Linked DNA regions of Astyanax mexicanus. The protein of the gene in region 1 interacts with the protein of each later gene in a biochemical or structural test. Links are inferred from orthologs where the notes say so. Each region holds a gene or a part of one and is shown in the gene's direction. Other genes may lie near its edges.

The links.
Region 2: the proteins of casp8 (region 1) and dedd form a complex in vitro, tested with the Homo sapiens proteins (2 studies listed by BioGRID). The link is inferred for Astyanax mexicanus from reciprocal best matches to the Homo sapiens genes CASP8 and DEDD.

Annotation. Positions count from the first base shown.
Region 1 is NC_064412.1:41,334,930-41,345,879, forward strand, and holds the start of casp8 (caspase-8), read left to right. Parts: upstream 1-6,714; 5' UTR 6,715-6,773; coding exon 6,774-7,048; intron 7,049-7,295; coding exon 7,296-7,395; intron 7,396-10,889; coding exon 10,890-10,950. Other genes in the region: ciliogenesis-associated TTC17-interacting protein, read left to right, coding at 150-236, 579-746, 1,837-1,961, 3,022-3,098, 3,432-3,520, 4,083-4,265. UniProt on the Homo sapiens protein: Thiol protease that plays a key role in programmed cell death by acting as a molecular switch for apoptosis, necroptosis and pyroptosis, and is required to prevent tissue damage during embryonic development and adulthood.
Region 2 is NC_064419.1:9,013,245-9,024,236, reverse strand, and holds the start of dedd (death effector domain-containing protein), read left to right. Parts: upstream 1-6,934; 5' UTR 6,935-7,141; intron 7,142-10,796; 5' UTR 10,797-10,937; coding exon 10,938-10,992. Other genes in the region: si:ch211-229n2.7 (phospholipase A and acyltransferase 2), read left to right, coding at 1,811-1,828, 2,431-2,551, 3,108-3,406, 4,444-4,524. UniProt on the Homo sapiens protein: A scaffold protein that directs CASP3 to certain substrates and facilitates their ordered degradation during apoptosis. May also play a role in mediating CASP3 cleavage of KRT18. Regulates degradation of intermediate filaments during apoptosis.

The DNA of each region.
Region 1 (10,950 bases):
TCAGTTTTCTTTTTAGCAAGAAATGTAATTTCTGTGCATCCCTAATTTTTTATTTAGCAGTATGCTCTGTAATATATATATTGTATATTATTATAATACAGTCAAATATATGAAGTGGTTTGTATTAAGCTGTGTTTTAAATGCTCCAGGTGCAGGAACACATGTTAGACCGAAAGGTAAACATGGTGAGGCGAGACGGTTGTCTTGTGGTGAACAGAGTCACTACAGAGAAGGAGGTGAGGATGGGTGTGCTACACACCAATTAGCCAAAAAGTTATCTAGTTTGCTGGACTTTGTACAGCGTTATCTAGTACAATTTACTGAATTAGGCAAATACTGTACCAATACTGTGCAATTATTATTAAAATACATAGATTACTTACATGCACAGATCCTGTTACAAATAAATGCTGATATTTTCTAATGTAAGATTTTCATTTTATTATATTGTATCATATATTTCACTATTTGTCTTGAGCATTTAGAATTTTTAGTCGTATGTGGAGTTTTTAGTCATATCTATGCACTACATTTGGATTTAGTGCCTTTATGGTAAAGTACATGTCTACCTCTTACAGGAAGTGAAGAAGCAAACATTCACATTACCCCTTCACTCTATACAAGGTTTTGTGTCCGAGGCCACCAACTTTATCATCCTGCGTATTTTAGCTCAGCAGAAGAAGATTCCAGAGAAGATTATGTTCTTGTCATTCAATGCTGACACCCAGCTTAGTGTGGCAACCTATGTAAGTACTTCTTTCATATAGTTTTATGGCCCTGTTACACTGATGTAGAGTTTTTGTTATAGAATGAAAGATAATTTATTTAATATACAGTAGTATTATACAATATAAGAATATTGTATGACCATTTAAAGAACGAATTGAATTGGCTTGCCATCAGTTGCCGGAGCTCTGAGAGCACAATTGGTTTTGCTGTCTCTTGGTGGGTAGATGGCGCTCTTTTCCCTCATTACTTTTAGGGTGATCTTAATCAGCACAAGGCGTCTGTGAGCTGATGTATGGAACCAAGTCACTGCGATTTCCTACCAGAACACTGGCTACTTGGCAATCCTGCATCATAGCTGACTTCCCATGTGTCACATGTGTATTATTAATTACAAAGACAATGAGCTGACAAATTCTGTTTAATTTAATAAACTATTTTCATCCCACTCCTGTCATACACAACCTCAGCTACGACAGTGCCAACTGTGTGCATAAACTGAATCAAAAGATTCTACCAGATAAAAAGGCTACTTAAATAAAAATAAAATAAATCATAATAAAATAAAAACCACAGGCACAAAAAATGTAATGTAAACAAAATAAAACATACTACTGCTACATGTGCCCCGCCACACAGGAGTCAGGCCATGGTAGTCATGGCCCAGAGGAGCCGTGGTGGGCGTCCCTTATTTCCATTTCTGAAAGGTGGCACCCCTAGGTACTTTACGATTGTTAATGTTTTTGTTAATAATGGTGGGGAAGGGGGATTGACTTGCTTTGCACATTATTGTATTACAATCACAGCCTATCTTAAAAAAAATCTTTGTGAATGTGAAGCTTGGTGAGCAGCATGTTATCGAGATCTGTAATGTCCACTTACTCAAGCTATAGAGTTCAATTGTCAAATATATGGCAGAAAGGTGCCCCACAAATATATATGGCACACTAAGCGAGCACTTAGACGGGTTGTTAGACTTGTTGTAGAAAATATTTGAATATTTCTTTCTGACATACATCTATAGATTCTCTACATTCATTATTCTGTAAGTTACAGTGGATAAAGATTAATCCCCACTTGCTTGTAAATCTTATTTTCCTGTCATTTCAGAGGGAACTGGGCACAAAGAAGCAGGTGGTTGGTAAAGAGATGGTGGATGTGTTTGGCATTGAGATGACTATATCTTCTGGAGATGACATCCAAGCATCCTGGCACTGCTACTTCCTTCCAGATGGGTATAATTTTCTCCTGCTAAACTGCTCTATAAATACATTAGATTTACATGGCTCTCTATTTCCAATAGGATTTTTATAGATGTAATAGACAATTTTCTCTCAATTTTATAAAGTCATAATTTTATGACCTACATATTGGTGTTGGGTGGTTAATTAAAATAATTTGAGTACAACGCTTTGATGTCATCAGTAAGATAAAAGCTATATTTTTTATCTGAAACTATAATACCTGCCTATTTGTAGGTGTTATGTAGGTGAAAATGATAGGTTATGGTAAGTTATATGTATACAATGTTATATTGTAAACCTACAGAAATTCTGCCAAAAACAATAAACATATGTGGAAAAAATTTCGAATGAGAAGTGATACTACTGAGAAACACAGCCACCTATAGTGGAGTTTAGTAGCCTGATGTGCCTCTGCTGATTAGTAGAGATGGCACAGTCAGTTTGAGTTCAGTTTAACACTTTCTTTATTATATATAATATATATATATATATATATATATATATATATATATATAATACAGTGCCTCAAATGTTCTCTACTGAACAGTTGAGCAGAAGTTAAAGAGTTAGAGCGATTTTCAAAATGGAGTAATAGAGATTGTATATACAAGCTGCTAAAGTAAATCTCAGAAGATAGTATAATTCTTACACTTTTCTAAAACTGAAAAAGGCACTTACAATTCTTTTATTAAATAGCTAAATTAAACATTTGTTATTATTTTGGTTTCATATATAGAAAAATGAAATAATAAAGTTTGGGTGGAGTAATATGCCCTGCCTCTTACTTAACACCCTATAAATACCATCTACATAGCTTACCTAGCTTTGGCACCTCTACAAATAAAAAATTAAATAAAAAACTAAATTGTAATGGAGAATCACTCATGTATTTAAAGAATATTGAGTTGTTGTTCTTTTGTGCGACTTCTACATAAGGAGCAGGTTCTGTTGGTGTCTGATTAAACACTAGAAAAAATAAAGCTATATTGCTTTATTATAAACACAGCACTATACACCATATTAACTTATTGTTCACTTTTTCTAAGTGTAGCCATTTAGCCAGCAGAGTACAGCTGGGCTCTCCAGTTACTATGAACCTCTTGCAGCTCCCTCCCATAGCAAATAAAGGTCTGTAAATATAAAACATTATCTCCTTGTTTGTTTTTTTTCCTTTGTTTGTTATTTTAATAATTTTAGTAGTTGCTTATGTATTACGTAAGTTACACTGTTGTTGCTATTTTACTTTTTATTGCTTTTATGATTTCCTTGCATTAGAATCCTACTCTTGCATTTAACTATTTTATGTATATTTGTCATTATCTTATTTTTTTATTTAATTAAGTGCTGGCATTTTCTTTATCAATGTTATTGGCTTGGCTACATTGTAAATGAGGGCCAAATAAAGGGTTTAAATAAAGGTGGGTTGAGACCTCACCACACTGTGACATGTTCATTTTCTAGAGGAGAGAGACCAGAAGCCAGTGTTTGAGAAGAAGCCCCTGGTCTGGGAGGAAGATATGGAGCTCCACTCAAAGTTTCTTGACAGAAAGGTGTCAAATCATCATATTGATCTCATTTTGTTTTTCTTTGTTTCTACACCAATTATCCATTTTTTTAGCTTCACTCATTATATAGGACACATTGTAGTTCTATAATTACAGAGTGTATCCCTTCTGTTACTCTGCATATTTTATTATCCTCCTATTATCTTCCTCCAACACATTGCAGCTGTGATTTGTGTGGTGGGTCATTCTTGCACCATCCTGTGGACGGTGTCACTGCAGTGCTTAGAAAGACCCACCACCCAAATAACAGCTGCTTTCTGGTGGTCTTGTGGGGTCCTGACCATTAAAGAACAGGGTGAAAGGAGGATAATATATTATGCAGACAAACAGATACAGGACAACAGTCTGTAATTATAGAACTATAAAGTTTCCTATATGATCAGTGGAGCTGATGGAAGGACAGTGAGCGTAGAAACAAGGATGCGGTTGTAATATTCTGACTCTGGACTGTGTATATTCTACATAATACAATGTATTGAGATGTTATACACCAAGTAACACATTCTGCATATTTCTCGTCTTGCTCCACATATTCTCCATATTGCAGGAAGAGCTGAAAGCAGGCCACTCCTCTTATGTTAGAGATCATCCTGAGCTGAAGACGCTGCTGGCGGATTTTATGCAGTTCCTGCTGTTAAGGAAACCTCAGGATGTTTTCTCCTTTGCTCAAGACTTCTTTGCTCCCTTTGACTTTCAGCGCCCACCAGACAGCAGCTTCAAGACTTCTTGAACCATAAAGTTTTTTAAAGTAGCTTTACTGGAAGAAAAAAAAACTCATAACCTGTCAGGCCTTTATCCTGTGTGATGAGTAATTTTAATAAAGAGTTTCCATTTTGTGCTAGGTTTAACATTTTTTTGATGTGTTTTATTTTTTATATCCTATGGGATATATAACCAAAAAAATAACATTTATTTATTATAATTATTTATTATATTTTGTGTTTGTTAGAATCAAATGTTAATGTTTACATTTTTTAGGAACCTAAAGGCTAGAGCTAAGCAATATAGTAAAAAATGGTATCACGATAATTAAACATGTTTCAAAATACACACTGTTTATCACCATGTTTTGACATGCAGACAAAATGCTTCAACTGCAGATTATTATTTTATTTATTTTTTTTTTTTATATTATTTATTAAAAATAAAAAAAAACTCAGGCATAGCACCTTAATATACATTCAGTTTCTCACCATCCAATTAAACAAGACTAATTATACTCAGTCATAAAAAAATACAGTTGGGTCAGTGTTTAAGCTCTGAAGATATGCGTGATGTTGGTTTAAAAAATGTATCTCTGTATGATTAACATTTTTTCATAATGCCCTTCTCTACTAAAAGCATGTAATGTGGTGTGTGAAATCGGGACTTTTAATTTGAATTAAGTCCTCTAACCATTCTAATGGCTTAACCCAAACTGATTTTGTTAAAAGATTTTTCCCTATTAAATTCATGTAATCCATGTAAATTCAGATTGATAAGACAAAATAATAATAATAATAATAATAATAATAATAATAATAATAATAATAATAATAATTTGTTGAAATTAATGAAAACTTAGCTTCTCTATACTGCACCAAACGGAAAATAATAATTTAATTTTTACAGTTAATTTTCTATTTTCACGTTTAGCCTCAGAAACTGTAACTGCTTAATGTTACAATGATCCACGTGTGATCGAAACAGGTCCAACTCTGACCACAAACAGCGTCATTAATTTCTTTAGTTTAGTTAAATTACAGCAAACTAAGTTACACAAGTAACTCAGAAGCGAGTGCGTCACTGCGGGGTTTCCACTCCCTGTTCGGTTGTTTTAACTCTTTATTAGCCTCGGGATCTTATCGAAACTGAAAGTTGTGTCGGTCGGTGTGGAGTAATGTAGCCAGGTCTGATCTTCTCCGAGTAAACTAACAGATAGAAACGCTGTTTCTGGGGTTTTAACTGTGAGTGAACGTTGGCATCGCCACGAACTTCCGGATAAGGACCAGAGTGACCAGTGTCTAAATGTGAAGGTAAGAAATAATATAGAATTTCGCTTAGCGTTATTACAAACTTTCTGTAACTAGCAGCCAGGCCGGGTGTTCTGTCGAATTTGGCTACATTGCCCAAATGTGCTACTCTGCTGTATTGACAGACAACGCTGCCTAAATAAAGCAGTGGGTGGAATATTTTGGATGGACTGAAAGTATCATATCAGAAAATGCTCCCAGCTGAGGTATAAGATAAATATTTACTATTTATTTAACTATATAGTTATTTAATAACTATTTCAGGGTAATAAATACGAGAGGACTGATATTTTTTTTAAGTTTGAATCGCAATTTACACTTTTGTAACATTCTGCATTAGTAAATGTAAGCTAAAATTGTGAAAAAGTCCGAGGAAATCATAGACTGTGTATAGCGAGGAAATGGATCAGAAAGAATGGTAATGTAAAAAAAACGTTTTGGGTCTGCACATGCGCAGAACAGCTAAATAGCTCTTATCGTGGGGTAACGCAACTCGACAGAACACCGGAAGTGTAAACATAAGGCTAACTAACGCTAGCTAGATAGATGGTATACAACTCGAGGCAGGATTAAATTCCAACAGCGCTGTAGTTTATCTAATGTGTCGCTGATCCGGGCGGGTTAACACCGATTCTGTGCTCGATATTTCAGTGTCTGTAGAGCTGAAGTCTTTGGTCTGTGTTTAGCTTGGCGCTAATGTTAAAGTTACCGTAGCTGCGTCTGCTGTTTTTACCTTTTTCACAGTAGGTAAATTCAGCTCAGCTGGTAATTCAGGGAAAACATTCTGTAACAGGTGGATGGTTCATCCAAAAAAAAATAAATAAATAAAATAATAATGTTCCCCTAATCCCTAAGAGCCTGACCATGATCATTTTTCATATATATTCATATATATCATTATAATATTGGTATGCATGCATGTATGTATGTGTTTGTATGTATGAACTTTTAAACAAAACTAAAGAAATGTATTTTGTATTGTTGCGTTACATAGGTACATACCCATAAGTAAATGAAACATATGTAAAATTAATTTAAAAACTTCAGTGATAGTGCACTAGGGAAGGGTGGGAGGGGTTGCAAACCCTGGTGTCTTCGTGGTTGAAAAAGTATTGATAAAAGAGACAGTATGTTCTATTGGTGACTTTTCTTGTGATCAGTCTTTTACCGTCCACAGTCAAAATAGGCACAGCAAGTTTCCAGATCAGGTCCGTTTCTTGCCCAGTATGGAACTCAATACACTTCACATTATAGATGAGGAGCTGACAAAGAGTGAAGTGGCTGCCTTAAAGTTTCTGTGCTCAGATGTTATTTCTCGCAAGCGTCTGGAGAACGTGAAGGATGCCAAGGACCTGTTCCTGCGTCTGAGAGAACAGGCCCTGCTGGATGATCCTCGCTTCCTTGCTGAGTTGCTTTATACCATCCGTCGCAATGACCTGCTGACATTTCTGGGCACCAATAAAAGAGAGGTCAACAGGTGGCTTGCGATTTCTCCGTACAGGTAAAGGTTATCAGGTATTTGTTAGGGTCTGGAGCTATAATGCAATCGTATTAGTTATATAAATAAATCTGTACTTTAGTCAGTTTATTTTTTGTTTTGTTTTGAAAATTCAGATGTTATGTTTGAGCTCCCTGCTGTTGTATTATGATTAATGATTGCCAACTGACTGGATATTAAGGATAGTTTCTGAGATTTCTTCTTCTCATAGAAATCATGTATTCACATTACCAACACATGCTTCCTGTAGGAAGATGCTGTATAAACTGTCTGAAGATGTAACGGCTGAAAATCTGCGTGCCATAAAGTTCCTTTTGGATGGGTTGCCCAAAGCAAAGCTGCAGGACGCTGTGAGTATAGAGGTCTCCAGCAACATAAAACCCCTCATACAGCTCATTTGTTGTTTCTTTTGAAGTTTATTTTACTTATGTTGCAGTATCTCTTTGGGTGGGTGATATGCCTGCGTCTTAAAGGGAATGACTACTGGCACATTGATCACGTTACACACCCATGAACAATTAAAAGATTTAGAACACGCCTCTTGCGCTGTTGGAGCTACGCAAGGCCTACACAATACCAAAGACAACGGACACGCCCCTAAATCCAGCGGCGCAAAGTGCACTTAACTAGTTCACTATAGGTCGCTAAAATAGGGCCCTAAATGTAAATGAACAGTTTTAAACATTCAGTAGAAACAAAAATATCTGTAAACATTTACAGTGAGTCCAAGAAGTATTTGATCCCTTGCTGATTTTCTTCGTTGGCCCACTAATAAAGACATGATCATTCTATACTTTTAATGGTAGATGTATTCTTACATGGAGAGACAGAATATTAAAAAGAAAATCCAGAAAATAAATCTAAGGAATATATATTAATTGATTTGTATTTCATGGAGTGAAATAAGTATTTGATCCCTTAGTATTCATTAGCAGTTCTGGCTTTTACAGACCAGTTAGACACTCCCAATCAACTTGTTACCTGACCTGAAGCCACCTGTTCTCACTAATCACTTGTGTGAAAAACACCTGTCCACAGAATCAGACAGATCACACAGATTTCAAGTCTCCAACATGGGTAAAACCAAAGAGCTGTCACAGGACCTCAGAGTCAGAATTGTTGACCTTCACAAAGCTGGAATGGGCTACAAAAAGATTAATAAGGTGTTGGATGTGAAAGTAACAACTATTGGTGCAATTATCAGAAAGTTTAAAGAGTATAACATGACAATCAACAGACCTCGGCCCGGTGCTCCAAAGAAGATTTCGCCTCGTGGGGTGGCAATGATGCTGAGAACGGTCAGAAATCGTCCTGCAACCACTCGGCAGGAGTTAGCAAATGACCTGAAGGCAGCTGGGACCACAGTTTGCAAGGAAACAATTGGCAACACTTTGCGTAACAATGGATTCACATCCTGCAGTGCCTGAAAGGTACCCCTGCTGAAGAGAGCACATGTGGAGGCACGCCTCAAGTATGCCAATGATCATTTGAAAGATGAACCAAGTTATTGGGAGAAGGTTTTGTGGTCAGACGAGACCAAAATTGAACTTTTTGGCCTCAACTCCACCCGCCATGTGTGGAGGAAGAAAAATGCCGCCTATGACCCCAAGAACACTGTGCCCACCGTCAAGCATGGAGGTGGAAGCATAATGTTTTGGGTGTGTTTCTCTGCCAAGGGTACAGGGCTACTTCACCGCATCACTGGGAAGATGGATGGAGCCATGTACCGCACAATCCTGAGGGACAACCTCCTCCCCTCTGCCAGGGATCTGAAAATGGGCCGTGGTTGGGTCTTCCAACATGATAACGACCCTAAACATACAGCAAAGGATTGGCTCAAGAAAAATCACATTAAGGTCATGGAGTGGCCCAGCCAGTCGCCAGACCTCAATCCGATCGAAAATCTATGGAGGGAGCTGAAGGTCAGAGTTGCCAAGCGACAGCCCACCAACCTTCATGATTTAGAGAGGATCTGCAAAGAAGAGTGGGCCAAAATTCCCCCTGGTGTGTGTGCTAAACTTGTGGTTAACTACAACAAACGTCTCACCGCTGTGCTTGCAAACAAAGGCTTTGCCACTAAGTATTGAGTGTGTTTGGCAAGAGGGATCAAATACTTATTTTCCTCATTGAAATACAAATTAATTAAAATATATTCTTTAAAATTATATTCTGGATTTTTGTCTTGATATTCTGTCTCTCCATGTTAGAATATATCTACCATTAAAAGTGCAGAAGGATAGTGTCTTTTTATTAGTGGGCAAACAAAGAAAATCAGCAAGGGATCAAATACTTCTTGGACTCACTGTATCTGTTTCGACAGAAACTTATATAAAGATTAACACAATTATATAAAAATACCCTTATAGCTTTAAAGTAAATATCAAAAGTAATGCAAACAAAGGCTGCTTTTAAAACAGAATACTGCTATTAACACAGTTATAAAACAGTTCAGCTGCTACACAGAGCAATGCTGGGAGTTTTATATCCCTCTAGCCCATGCCTTGCATTAGGCATGGTGCCAATAGGTTCATGTTTATCTACTCTAGTCTACTCTAGTCTAACTATTTTATTTTATTATTTTATTGACAACACTTGCCTACAGGCACTAGACGAGCTGTGCGTGTGTGGATGCATTCACATTAGAAGAGGAGTTCACAAATATTTAGCCATATATAAAGTTAGTTTCTCAGACAGGGCTTAAGAGTAGTCATTAGTGGTATAACACTACAGAAAATTCACAGTTTGATTCACACCTCGGTATAAGCCCCGCGGTTCTGTGCGTTTTCAGTACAGTTGGTGGAAAAAATAAAGAGGCTGGGAATTCTTTATAGCCTCACCTTTATTAACTTTATAATAACAGTGAATCTTCATTATAACCATGTTTAGTTTTTTGGGATGAAATGTTGTAACGGGGCTCGAGCTCTTTTATTAAATGCTTGAAACCAGGGTTCTCTCCTACTGTCATCATGAGAGGCTCCATCTTTTAGATCTTGTTGGAACAAACAATGAGCGTGATTGTGAAGCTTTATTAGGAACAAAAGCATTAGCATTACTTTAACTTTACTTTTACTTTTAGCCTAAACTACAAATATTTTTTCTAAGAATATTACTGGTTGCATTTCAGTGTTTATTTCAGAGTTCTTTTTAAGAAATATCAGCATTAGACTGTCAAAATTAAATTATATTGGCGGTGTCAATCACTTGACACTAAATTTTTTAATGCTGGAATATTGTAGTGATTTAGGTCTGGCAGATTAGATCGTTTTGTGCTTTATTATAATATCTGAGAGAGAGAGAGAGAGAGATAGATAGAGAGTGCAATCGAGCGAGCGAGAACCCATACGAGCGAATGATCTGCGTTTCTGTGTGCGCTCTCTGCTTGTGTGCTCCAGACTGCACTGTTTTCAGCCAGAGCTAAACTTCTCAGGCCTGGCTATGGGCTAATTCAGTAGCAAGTTGCTAATAGCAACAGTGCTACAGCTACACTTTCCGGGTGCAACACTCCATTAGTTCCACATTACGTTAATTGGTTCCACATATATCCTATAGACGTTTGTGCGAATCGAACCGTGACTCCCGTACTGTGACGGTTTAAAAAGAGTGAATGTACCGTTACACCCCTAGTAGTCATAGAATATATTTTCTTTCCAATGTAAAACCTTTATCAAAAATGCTGTGTATTCCAAGACTAGGCTTAATTCCTGTCTGAGAACCTGCCCCATAGGGTACACTATAATTGTAGTTGTCATTCAAAATGGCAACATCATGTGATAAGTGGAGGGGTGGGAATAATAATTGTTTTTTTTGTTTGTTTTATTTTGTTTTTTTCTCTTGAACTTTACAGACATTTTTGGATGTTGTAACTGAGATGGAGAAGTCCCATTTGCTGACAAACGATGGCCTGG
Region 2 (10,992 bases), on another chromosome or scaffold:
AAATATACTTTAAAAAGAAACGATTCTACAGCACAAAAGACACAACATATTGATACTTACCCTACTGAACTTCATTTGGAATGCTGAACACAGGAGATGGGGTCTCAATATAATTTCTGGTCATATCTGAAATGGTTTTTGATTAAATTTCAGTATTATGTGTAAAAATGTCTAGATCAAATGTTATAAAGAAAAACATGCATGAATAAAAGATTAATAAAAAATATTTTAAGTGTCATATAAATACATGCATCACAAATGAGCAGTGCCATGGAAAAACCTTTAAAAGGTCTGAATAACCTTCACTTAATTTGATACCAGTTTAAAATTTGAGATTTAAGATTTGATACCAGTTTAAGAGTTCCTCTCAAAAACATTTTTATATTTTACCAAGGTCCCTCACACCTGAACTGTAACAGGAACAATGCAAAATGTGCTAAAGTAGATCAATTGCTTTCAGCAATTAGCTAGATAGTAAGTGGCTGTGGTAAATAATCACAGCACTTATAACATATTGTAATTTTTATTACACAATACTATAATTATAAATATTATCACAGTCATTGCTGCTGTATTTTAATTAATCATTTAATATATCATGTTTAACATTTTAAACTAATCATTAGAAAAAATAGGTACTAAATAAATTTTATTTTGAGGTTTCTCAAAAAGAGATATCTTTTATATTTAGTAAAACAACAGCACTGCTGTCCTGAACATACTAAAAAAAAAAAAGAAACATTTCAGTAAAACAAAAAAAAATTTAACTGGCAAGGGTAAAACAAATTAAGAACTTTACCAAATTGTTAGCTACCTAACAATATAACCCGCTCACATACACAAGCAGTTATATAGTAGTATTACTTCTACACCAAATTGATGACGTTATTAACGAAATATCACCATATAATAAGATAAATTAAAATTTAATGTTAGTTTATTTTGGTAATATTTTGTTTACTAGTTGAGACAGGAGCTCCTCTCCAGTGTTTCTCTCTCCCAGTGCAGTGTAGTTAGCGTTAGCTATGTAGCTACACAGAGCAGCACCACAGATCCAGGGAGTCAGGGAGGCAAAAAACACCAAGTTAAAGTAACTATATTTAATAACTCTACTCAAATAAACTGAAGAAATAAAGCATTTAACTCCACTTTTCACGCTTAATATCAGTTGCTAAATCTTACCTTGAAAGATGCAAGTTAAAAAGATTAGCTTAGCGTTAGCATGCTGAGGTAACTGACCAGTATCATAGTCTGCTAAGCTAAAAAAAACTGACTGACTTTCTGTGTAACCTACATTTTATGACGTAATTTTAGGGCAAAAGAAATTAAGAAAAACAGTTGACTTAGAATAAAGTTGCAATATTATAAGAATTAAATCATAATTTTACAAGATTAAAGTCATAATGTTAAAAAGACAACTGGATATTGTATTCAAATTGTTTCAGCCTTCTTAAAAGCTGTCTTAATTGTATTACCCTTGATTGTTTTGCTGTTCCTCTATTTCCAGTTTTAAATAATATAAAATACTAAAATTAATGTAAAAATCATATTTTGTAATAAATGGATTAAAACAGAGGAAAATACACCTTAAGTCACTCCTGTTTAACTGACAGCCCAGTTTCAGTATTCACCTGACCTCACCTGTTCTAATCATTCAGGTGGGGTTTTAATGGTTTCTGGTTCTGCTGCAGTCTAACCATTCAGGTTTAACTCCTTTCAGCCCACATTCAATTTTTTTTACTTAGTCCCGCCCATCATACTTTTAAAAACACACCTGAGGAGATCTCACAGATGCGAAGGACAGGCTACAATGGATTACACAGAACAGGTAAGTCTTCTTAAATAATAAATAAAATAAAAAAAAGAATAAAATAAAAATATATGTAGTAAAAGGTGAAATGGCCTAAACTGTACTTTATTTATACAAAATTATAATATATGATTTATACAGAAATTAAATATAGCTTAAGGGGCCAGATGCCAGATTCCCACAGCTGGAAAACAGGGCAGTCAATGTGTTTAGACTGTGTTTGCTGTGTTTACATTGTGTTTGCATTTGATTTTTGATTTTGATTTTTGTTGTATTGTTTAGTTTAATTAAAATGTATAATAGTTAGAATATTAGTTTTTTAACTGTTGCATTTTCTAATAAAACAGAACATTCAGAGTTGCTCATTTTGTGATTTTTACAGTTTAACAGATTAGCACTGCCTGCTGCATAGAGCATGCTAACTCTAAACACACTGTAAACAGTCCAGTATGTGATGATCAGACTGGCTGTAAACTCAGTAAGCTGCAAGTTACTGTGTGATCTCAGTTATGAATATAAATATAATGTAGGCTATTTGACAGTGTTCTAGAAGTTTTCAGCGTAAATGTAGTTTAGAGAATGTTGTCAGACCGGTTCTAAAACCTGATCTGCACCAACAGGTCGCTGAGATTGAAGCCTCCGCCCACTTTGGAGACCTGATTGAATTCAGCTATCCTATTGGCTACTCTCACTGGGGTGTCTACGATGGGGATGGATACGTCATACATTTTGCAGTTGCAGGTAGGAAAACACTGCTTATATATATCTACAGATGTTTAATGTTTGCAATATAGAGAAAGATACAATGTTTTTGCTGAAAAATCACTTGCTTTGAACAATTGAAAGTTTCATAATTAATTATTTGGTTTGAAATGTCCATGTATTATTAAGGTTTAGGTTTTAACTCTGCATAGATTAATTCAAATACACAATCTGACAATTGAAAATAGATCAGTCAGAAGTCTTTTCAACTTATTTGTAATAATTTATTATATATTTTGGTGTCAGTTTCAGGTTTATATAGGAATGGAACCAAATAATAATTCCCCCAAAAATCATGTTTATTATGTATTGTTTAAAAGTTATGATTTAAGGGCAAATAATAAGGCAATACACACTTTTTAAATTGTGTATGTTAGAAATTTAAAAAGATGCAATTCTGAAACTTTGCACCTTGTATTTTGCTCACATTTACAACATTTCCTGAAAACATTTTAGTAAAAACACTTTTTTGTTGACCCTTAAGTTTTTCATAAATTCTAAGATGTACTTTTTTTATTATAAACCCCACCCCAAGACGAGACCCAGGTGATGAACACTTTCCGAGGCTACCTCCAAACCGTGTTCCCGGTCTGCGGGGATCTACTCATCGGGGAGACCAAAATCCGCCGGGTGCCTGTCAAAGAAGTCACCGTCCCAAAGGGGGCGCACATCTTAGTGTGCAACAACCGGCACGCTCTAAAACCATCCACCCCAGAGGAGATGAGGATCCGCCGAGACGCGCTGCTGGATAAAGAGCTCAATTATAAACTCTTCTCGCTGAACTGCGAACACTTTGCTACATTCGTGCGATACGGGAAAGCAGTGTGTAACCAGGTGAGTGCAGATCTTCAGGCAGGCCCACACTCCTAAAGAGGCACTAAACCCCCTGATTTTCGTTAACTCCACCCTCAGCTCAAATTTGAAAAAGAGTAAAAAATTTGAGGTGTAGTTTGGGAGGGGCACTGGGTGATGTATGGGTTTAGAGGAAGGGTAGGAGGGAAAGCTGATTGGCTGAGCCTCAGCAGCAGGTGGTTTTATTGATAGACTGATCTGCATATTATAAGTGTCTGTGTACCAAGGTACGCGGACACATCATCCGTGCCTATAGCACATTTAAACCTTTGAGAGCATGCTTGCCAAATAAAGCTCAATGGGAATTTTTTCAGAACTTTGATTGGGCTATTCTAACACATACATATTCTTTGATCTAAACCATTCCACTGTAGCTCTGGTTGTATGTTTAGAGTCATTGTCTTGCTGGAAGGTGAATCTCCTTCCCAGTCTCAGGTTTTTTGCAACAGGTTTTCTTCCAGGATTGCCCTGTTTTGTCTCAATTCATCTTTCCATCAACTCTGACCACCTTGCCTGTCCCTGCTGTCCCACAGCATGATGCAACCATAAACATGTTTTACATTTGGGATAGTGTGCTCAAAGTGATGAGCAGTGTTACTTTTCGCCACATTTAGAGCTTTTTAACTTAGGCCAAACCTTTCAGCTTTGGTCTCATCTAACCACAGCACCTTCATCCACACATTTGCTTTCACATTTGTCTTTCTCTAAACATTTGTTTTCTTTATGTCACTGTCCAAGCCCATGAAAGTTGATGCCGCTTTTGCAAATGGTTAACTTCTGTTTTGCACAGTCCCTTTTTGTGTTGTATAGCAGTTCTGAAATGCAGGAATATATATATTGGGTTTGTACTATGTGTAATCAAAATAAATGCAAAAAACACTGTTATTTCCATTAGCATTTTAAATGGCTTGGAAAATATCTTGTATAACCACGTTATGTGGTAACCCTCCTTTGCTTATGTTTTTTTACAGGAAATTAAAATACATTTGTGTGTGTGTGTATGTTTTTTTTTTTTTCAGATCCCAGGAAAGACCAAAAATAAGGAGTGTGAGGAGGCCACCAAAGTATTTGCGGAGATTGTGACTAACTATTACTCGTGATTTGATTATGTAACAAAAACAGTGCAAACACATGTTTAATTGTAATATAAATAAATAAATATTAAATTTCTTAAATATTTTCTTTGGAGTTTGTGGATTCACACAGCACTACAGAGTTTTTTGTGCATTTTTAAGTGTATTAATATTCTAATCAACAGCTGTAAGTTATACTGATTTGGCAGGAGTTTGGTGTACTTGGTATAATAGTGCACAAAATGGATATGAAAACACTGCCTGATGCCTGACACACTGTTTTACCAGAGTTCTGAGCTTGGAGGAATCAGGAGCATGCCTAGGCCTTGACTATGATTTCAAAGGGTTTATATTAACCCCGGGTCTTTACTCATACCAAATTTATTTTATAGGTGAACTAAGAGCAAAACCATTGTAAATCAAAAACACATATTCAACAACTCATCATCAAAACGGCAAAACGTAGCATCGTCTGAGTCTTAGACTTAATAAGAGTGATGTGAAGATGGCATACAAAACTATTGAAGGGTAAAGTCACACTGTATGCTGTATACTCAATTCTAGAGAAAACTGCAAAAGTTATGTTTAAAATGTCCTCATGTAGCTGTAAAAGTGCACTTAGCTCTCATAAGACCATTAAACAGTTCTGCGACACCTTGATTTAGCATAAATTGATTTTACGCTGTTTACATTGTATTGTCCAAAATGAAGAAATAGATCTGCATATATATGTTTGCTATATTGTCCAGCTCTAACTGCAGTCATCTGATTATAATCCAATCATGAACTGCATGTAAATGTACTCAGTGTCTTTGCCTCCTCCATGCACATTATAAACAAACAAAAAACATTTGTCTGTTGAACAACTTTACACATTTCCTGCAATTGGACTGTTAAACAATTAAACTATTTTTTCAAGCCATAATTTTTAAAGTTTTGTTGCAGGGCTATATAAAAGGCAAAAACAAATTTATTTAAAAGCTAAATGTTGTATGCTGAAAACCCCTAGCCTAATACAAACATGGCACAACAAGTATGGAAATTTGTCCTAGGTAGACATTTCCTTGTATTAGCAATGCTTCTTGGAAGTAAATCTTATACCGTTGGAATGCCTGTTCATTTTCCTTTTAAATGGTTCCACCTTTGTAAGGAACATGCATTTGTGGGATGAGTAGCAGAACAGCAAACAACTTATTCACCCATTGACTCATTTGGTGTTTGAAAATCTTCTTAGGGTATCGTCTTTTTGGGAGGCCCTACTTAATGCCCTGTCTCTGACATTCCCCATTATCCCCGGCATTCAGTTTGGAGATGGTATTAGGGCACAATTTGTGCAAAGGGCACAAACACATGTTCCTTACAAATGTGTTAACAATTAAAATGGTTATTAACAGGCTTTCCTACTGTATAAGATTTATTGCTAAGAAGTAAGAACATTGTTACAACAAATAAATAATCTACCAAACAAAAATATCCTTACTTTGTGTGCTATGTTCCTGTTACATGAGCCACTGAAACCAGTTCAGCAGTGCTACTCACTTCAGCTGTCAGTGATTTTAATGTTAAGGCTGATCATTCTATGCAGTAAAACAAGGTAGATGCCATTTTCTAATGGTGTGACAGTAATGATTAACAGTACAGTAATGAGACGCTGCCTGGGAGATCACTGGTTCGAAACCCGCCCATGTAGCTTGCCATCAGCTGCCGAAGCCCTGAGAGAGCACAATTGGCCATGCTCTCTCTGGGTGGGTAGCTGGCTCTCTCTGCCCACATCACTCAAAAGGGTGATGTCTGCAGCACAAGGCGTCTGTGAGCTGATGTATTGGAACTGAGCCTCTGCGCTTTTCTCTCAGCGTGCTGGCTACTCGGCCATGCTGCATCAGCAGCAGTAATTCAGGTTACCCTCCTGGTGTAACCTCCTAATGAGTGGGTTAAGTAACTGGCCTTTTGAACTGGGGAGAAAAAAAATCAACCTTTATTTTGAGTTCATTGAGGGCAAGCCTTATTTTAATGTAGCCGAGCATTTACAAAAACAGGGATTGACACTACAAAGACTACATTTAATAATTTTAAATTAAAAGAATATTATATATAAATAAATAAAAATAAAAATGTATCAAATGTATCAAAACTTGAGGTTTAATTTATAATAAATTAAGATGAAAAGAAGATCATATAAAACACAATAAAAGAATAATAAATAATAATTATAAAGAAACGAATTGAAATAAGTTAAAAAGTAATAATACATATAATGAAAAATAAAATAATGACATACATGTTTATTGTTTTGTGACAGAAATAATGATTTTTACACTGTCACTGTACAGACCTTCGCTAAAATGATAAATAAGCGCTGATTGGTCCACAGACCCATGAACTCGAGTGTGGGCGGGGTCAGCGCTGCCTCCGTATCCCGGATGTTGCCCCCCGCTTTGGACATCCCCGGATGTTCCTTCATCTTAGCAGTGGGCAGTAATGGCCGCTCCGCTGAAGCGCTGCTGCGGGACTCCGCTCACACCCAGCCCGGCCGCCCTCACCGCCAGCCCCGCCAGCTCAGCCTGCCCGGCCGCACCCAGCGCCCTCTCCGCCTGCTTATAATCGCGCCCAACTCCCCTCACAGCCCGGGTTCCGGAGACCAGCGGTTGGTAAACACAGCCTCCTCACTCCGCCTAGCCTAGCCTAGCTTAGCTACATGCTAAGAGAATCAAATAAACAGCGGACAGAACCGCACGAACCAACACAGCTAACTACCTAGCAAGTCATTTGATCACGTACTGCAGGACTACACACAGAGCCTAGCCTAAATCTCGTTGTCTAGAACGCCAAAGCCGCTTTTATCCGCGTTAGTTGTCTATGTTAGTTAACCTAGCTAATACCATCCGGTCTGCTCTTCTGTTTACAGCGCGAGTAGCAGCTTTTCCAGCCCCGTGCACGAGCCTGTGGTTATTAGCTAATTGGTTCCCTTCAAAATCTAGTAGATTGGTAACTCGCAACCAGCGTTAGAGTTCTGTGCAGGAGCTGAGGAGTGGTGTAGATAGCTAAAACCCAAAGGGGCAGGCGAAGTTCTCACGCACGCACGAGCTGAGAACGTTGCAGGCAGTTAGAACAGAATACAACACAGCACACAGTGACTGTTCTTATGTGTTCTTATGCTGTTATAACTGTTATAACTGTTCTTATGCGCACGAGCTGCTGCACGTTGTGGCTGTTTAAACTGTCTACAGTGGTTCTCAAACATTTTAGACCATGTAGCTCCCAAAATCAAACTATAAAGTTATTAACAGCAGCATATGAAGACTAGGGACATGTGTAATGTGTAATAAGGCTGTTTGATATCTTGCTGTCAGTGTGAAACTCAATAAATTAATGCTATTGCTGTCATCTTGAAGGTAATGACATTTGGAGAATTTTTTTTTTATCTGACAGTGAAAATATGTCATTGTCTACAATAAAAACTGTCAAATTAGTAAATTCCTAGTGATTTTGGTATCCCCTGGTGCCCACAGGCAAAAAAGGTATTTGGGGGTCTACCACCTTTGTGTGCTTCAGTGACCACCAGTGGTACATGTACTACAGTTTGAGGACCACTGGTCTAGAACATGACTTTGTCTGAAAGGGGATTGCTTTGATGAATGCTTTGCTCAATTACACAGAACATGAAAGTCGTTGTTCTGTAAGGTTCTGCATATTAATTATACTCCTGTAGTTCTGCTGGGTGTTTTAGGTTCTTGACAATTGAAAGCACTGTTTTAAAGGATTCTGGATGTCAGCTTAATGTTCTGTTTACTGAGATTGTGAAAGTGTCTTCAGAGGGTTCTGCACAGCATTAGCTGAGTGCTTTAACTATTAGGGTTGTACATTGACAAGCATGTTATGATGCACATCACAATGCAGGGGTTATGATTCAATATGTCAGTGTTTCAGCCATTTTGCAGTACTGTAACCAATGTGATTTATATTGTGATTTTAAACAGTCATAATATAAAAAAAAAACATCTATAAAATCTGATTAATAAAGGTCTACTTTTTATCCAATCAGAATAGTGGGATGTAAGGACAGAGTAAAACACTGCTATGTTGTTGAGCGGGTCTACTTTTTATTTAATCAGAATAGTGGGATGTAAGGACAGAGTACAACACTATGTTGTTGGGCGGGGCTTAACCAGTTTAACTCAGTAACTCATTCTATAGTTTTGATGCTGGTATTCAGTAGCTGATCTAAATGATCCAGGACCAATTAAAATGATTCACTAATTGCTCTAAATGGTTCAGTATTTAATGTTAGCGATTCATTAACTACATACATGATTCAATAACTGCTATTAATGTTTCCACAGACTGTATCAACTACAGTCATTTACTAAAGCCTTTCTATGAATCAGTTTCTGCTATGCTATCGTTAATAACAAAATAATTCTTTAGTTGCCCAAGATGTATGTTTGGAGTGTACACATGTATTTATGCACAGTTTCAACATGTCTTTAAATAACGGGCTCAGTTTGAGCAACACATTAAATTTAGATTGTAGAAGCTGAATGTTGAATGTTGGGTAATAGTTGTTGAACTGAATGGATGTCCCAGGGTAACCTGTAAGTCCTGTGAGTGAGACCAGTCTGTTGAGCAATCCAGTTTAATCTGAGCAGATTCCAGTTCTTTGACAGCAGCTCAGGGCTGGAGGGCTACAGTGCAGCACAGTTCATTTAGTTTAACTGGGTCTAGTTGGTTTGTGTTGTGGCAGGAAACCACCTACTGTACAACACTGGACACGTGTATTCTAGGGATTTAGTCACATGATTTCAGTTGCTAACAAAGCTGCAGTGGCTTCAGCCTTTAACTATAACTAGGCTAGTGACCTGAGTGGTTGGTTTGAGTAAAATGATGCTTGTTAGTAGATATTTAAGTATAAAAGGGCAGAAAGCAACACATTTGTAGTGTGAGTAATGCCAGCATGGTGGATGGGTGGAGACACAGCTGTCATATAATTTACCTGTTTAATAACTCACCTGCAGAGACATCACAAACTCTCTCATGCTTTCTAGAAAAAAAAAAACTAAACATCACATTTTAGGGACCAAACATCTGCCTTTGCCAATGTTCATTGGTGAATGATGGCTAAAATGATCACTTTAATTTGTAAATTAGTTTGTAGATGTTTTGAATGATTGTTCTGATAATGCAAAAAGCAGCACATTTTGTTGCTCTAACTTCATCTTTGCCAGCTTAGCTATGCCAGGGTGTTCTGTGGACTCCTACTAATTGATATGTGCTGCACACAACCACAGTCTTTAATGTTTCATGAGTTTTTTTTGTGGTAAATCTGTGTTGTACTTAATAACAAGGCATCTCTTAGGGGTGTACTCACTTTTTGCCAGCGGTTTAGGCATTAATAGCTGTCTGCTCATTTATTTTGAGGGCACAGCAAATTTACAATGTTACAAGCTGTGCACTGACTACATTGTATCAAAGTGTCATGTCTTCAGTGTTGTCCCATTAAAATATAGAATATTTATAAAAATGTGAAGTGTGTATTTGCTTTTGTGAGATACTGTATACTATGAAAACACGTGAAATTACGATGCACTATGTCCATTAATACGTTACAAGTGATGAGGAAGATAGCACCACCCACCCACTCAAATTCAGATTCAAACCAAAAGTACCCAAATCATAGGCTACATTCACATTACAAGCCACATTGCTTAAATCTGATATTTTGCTTAGATTTGGCTATTCTGAGGGTTTAAATTCAGAAATGTATAAGTGACCTGTATCTGAGTATAAACTTCGCCTTTTTCACCAACAACAAAAAAAGTAATATTTAAGAGACGACTCGTAGCTTTATAAAGGGAAATGGATGTGTTAGCAGCTCATATGTGGAGCATCTTTTGCTGGAGTGGAGAGTAAACAGCTGGTCTGAAGGACATGCTCAGGTTGAACAGGTGAAAAAAGGCCAAGCGGTTTGCTTTTGCTGTTTTTGCAGCTATTAGCTGCACAGTTGCACCAAGAGGTGTGTGAGTACAAGAGAGAAGCCAGCAATGGTCGACCCCGGTCTGGTGATGACAAAGCAAAAAGACGCATGAATTTTGATTTGACCGTTCACATTCATGTCTCATGTCTATGGATCGAATACGTATCCGATTTAGGACCACATATGAAAGTGACTCAAATCTGATTTGAAAAAATCAGATTTGGCACATTCACACAGCCATGAAAAAAATCTGCCAGTGGTTTTAATTTTATGGCTGATTAATGATCAGATATAGTTACTGATTATTGTTTTTTTCTTTTTTTGACAGGATGCAGCTGGGTGAGACTGTTTCCTGTGGTTTGTGTTGAATTATATAAACGTTAATTTAGCATTAATTTGCAGTACAACATCGTCAACAACGGTGACATCAACCCTCCCACCCTGCCGTCCACGTGCTTGGAGCAGAGTGATGAGCTCACAGCAGCGTGGGAATGCCACCCCGCCCCTCCTCGCTCCTCACACCT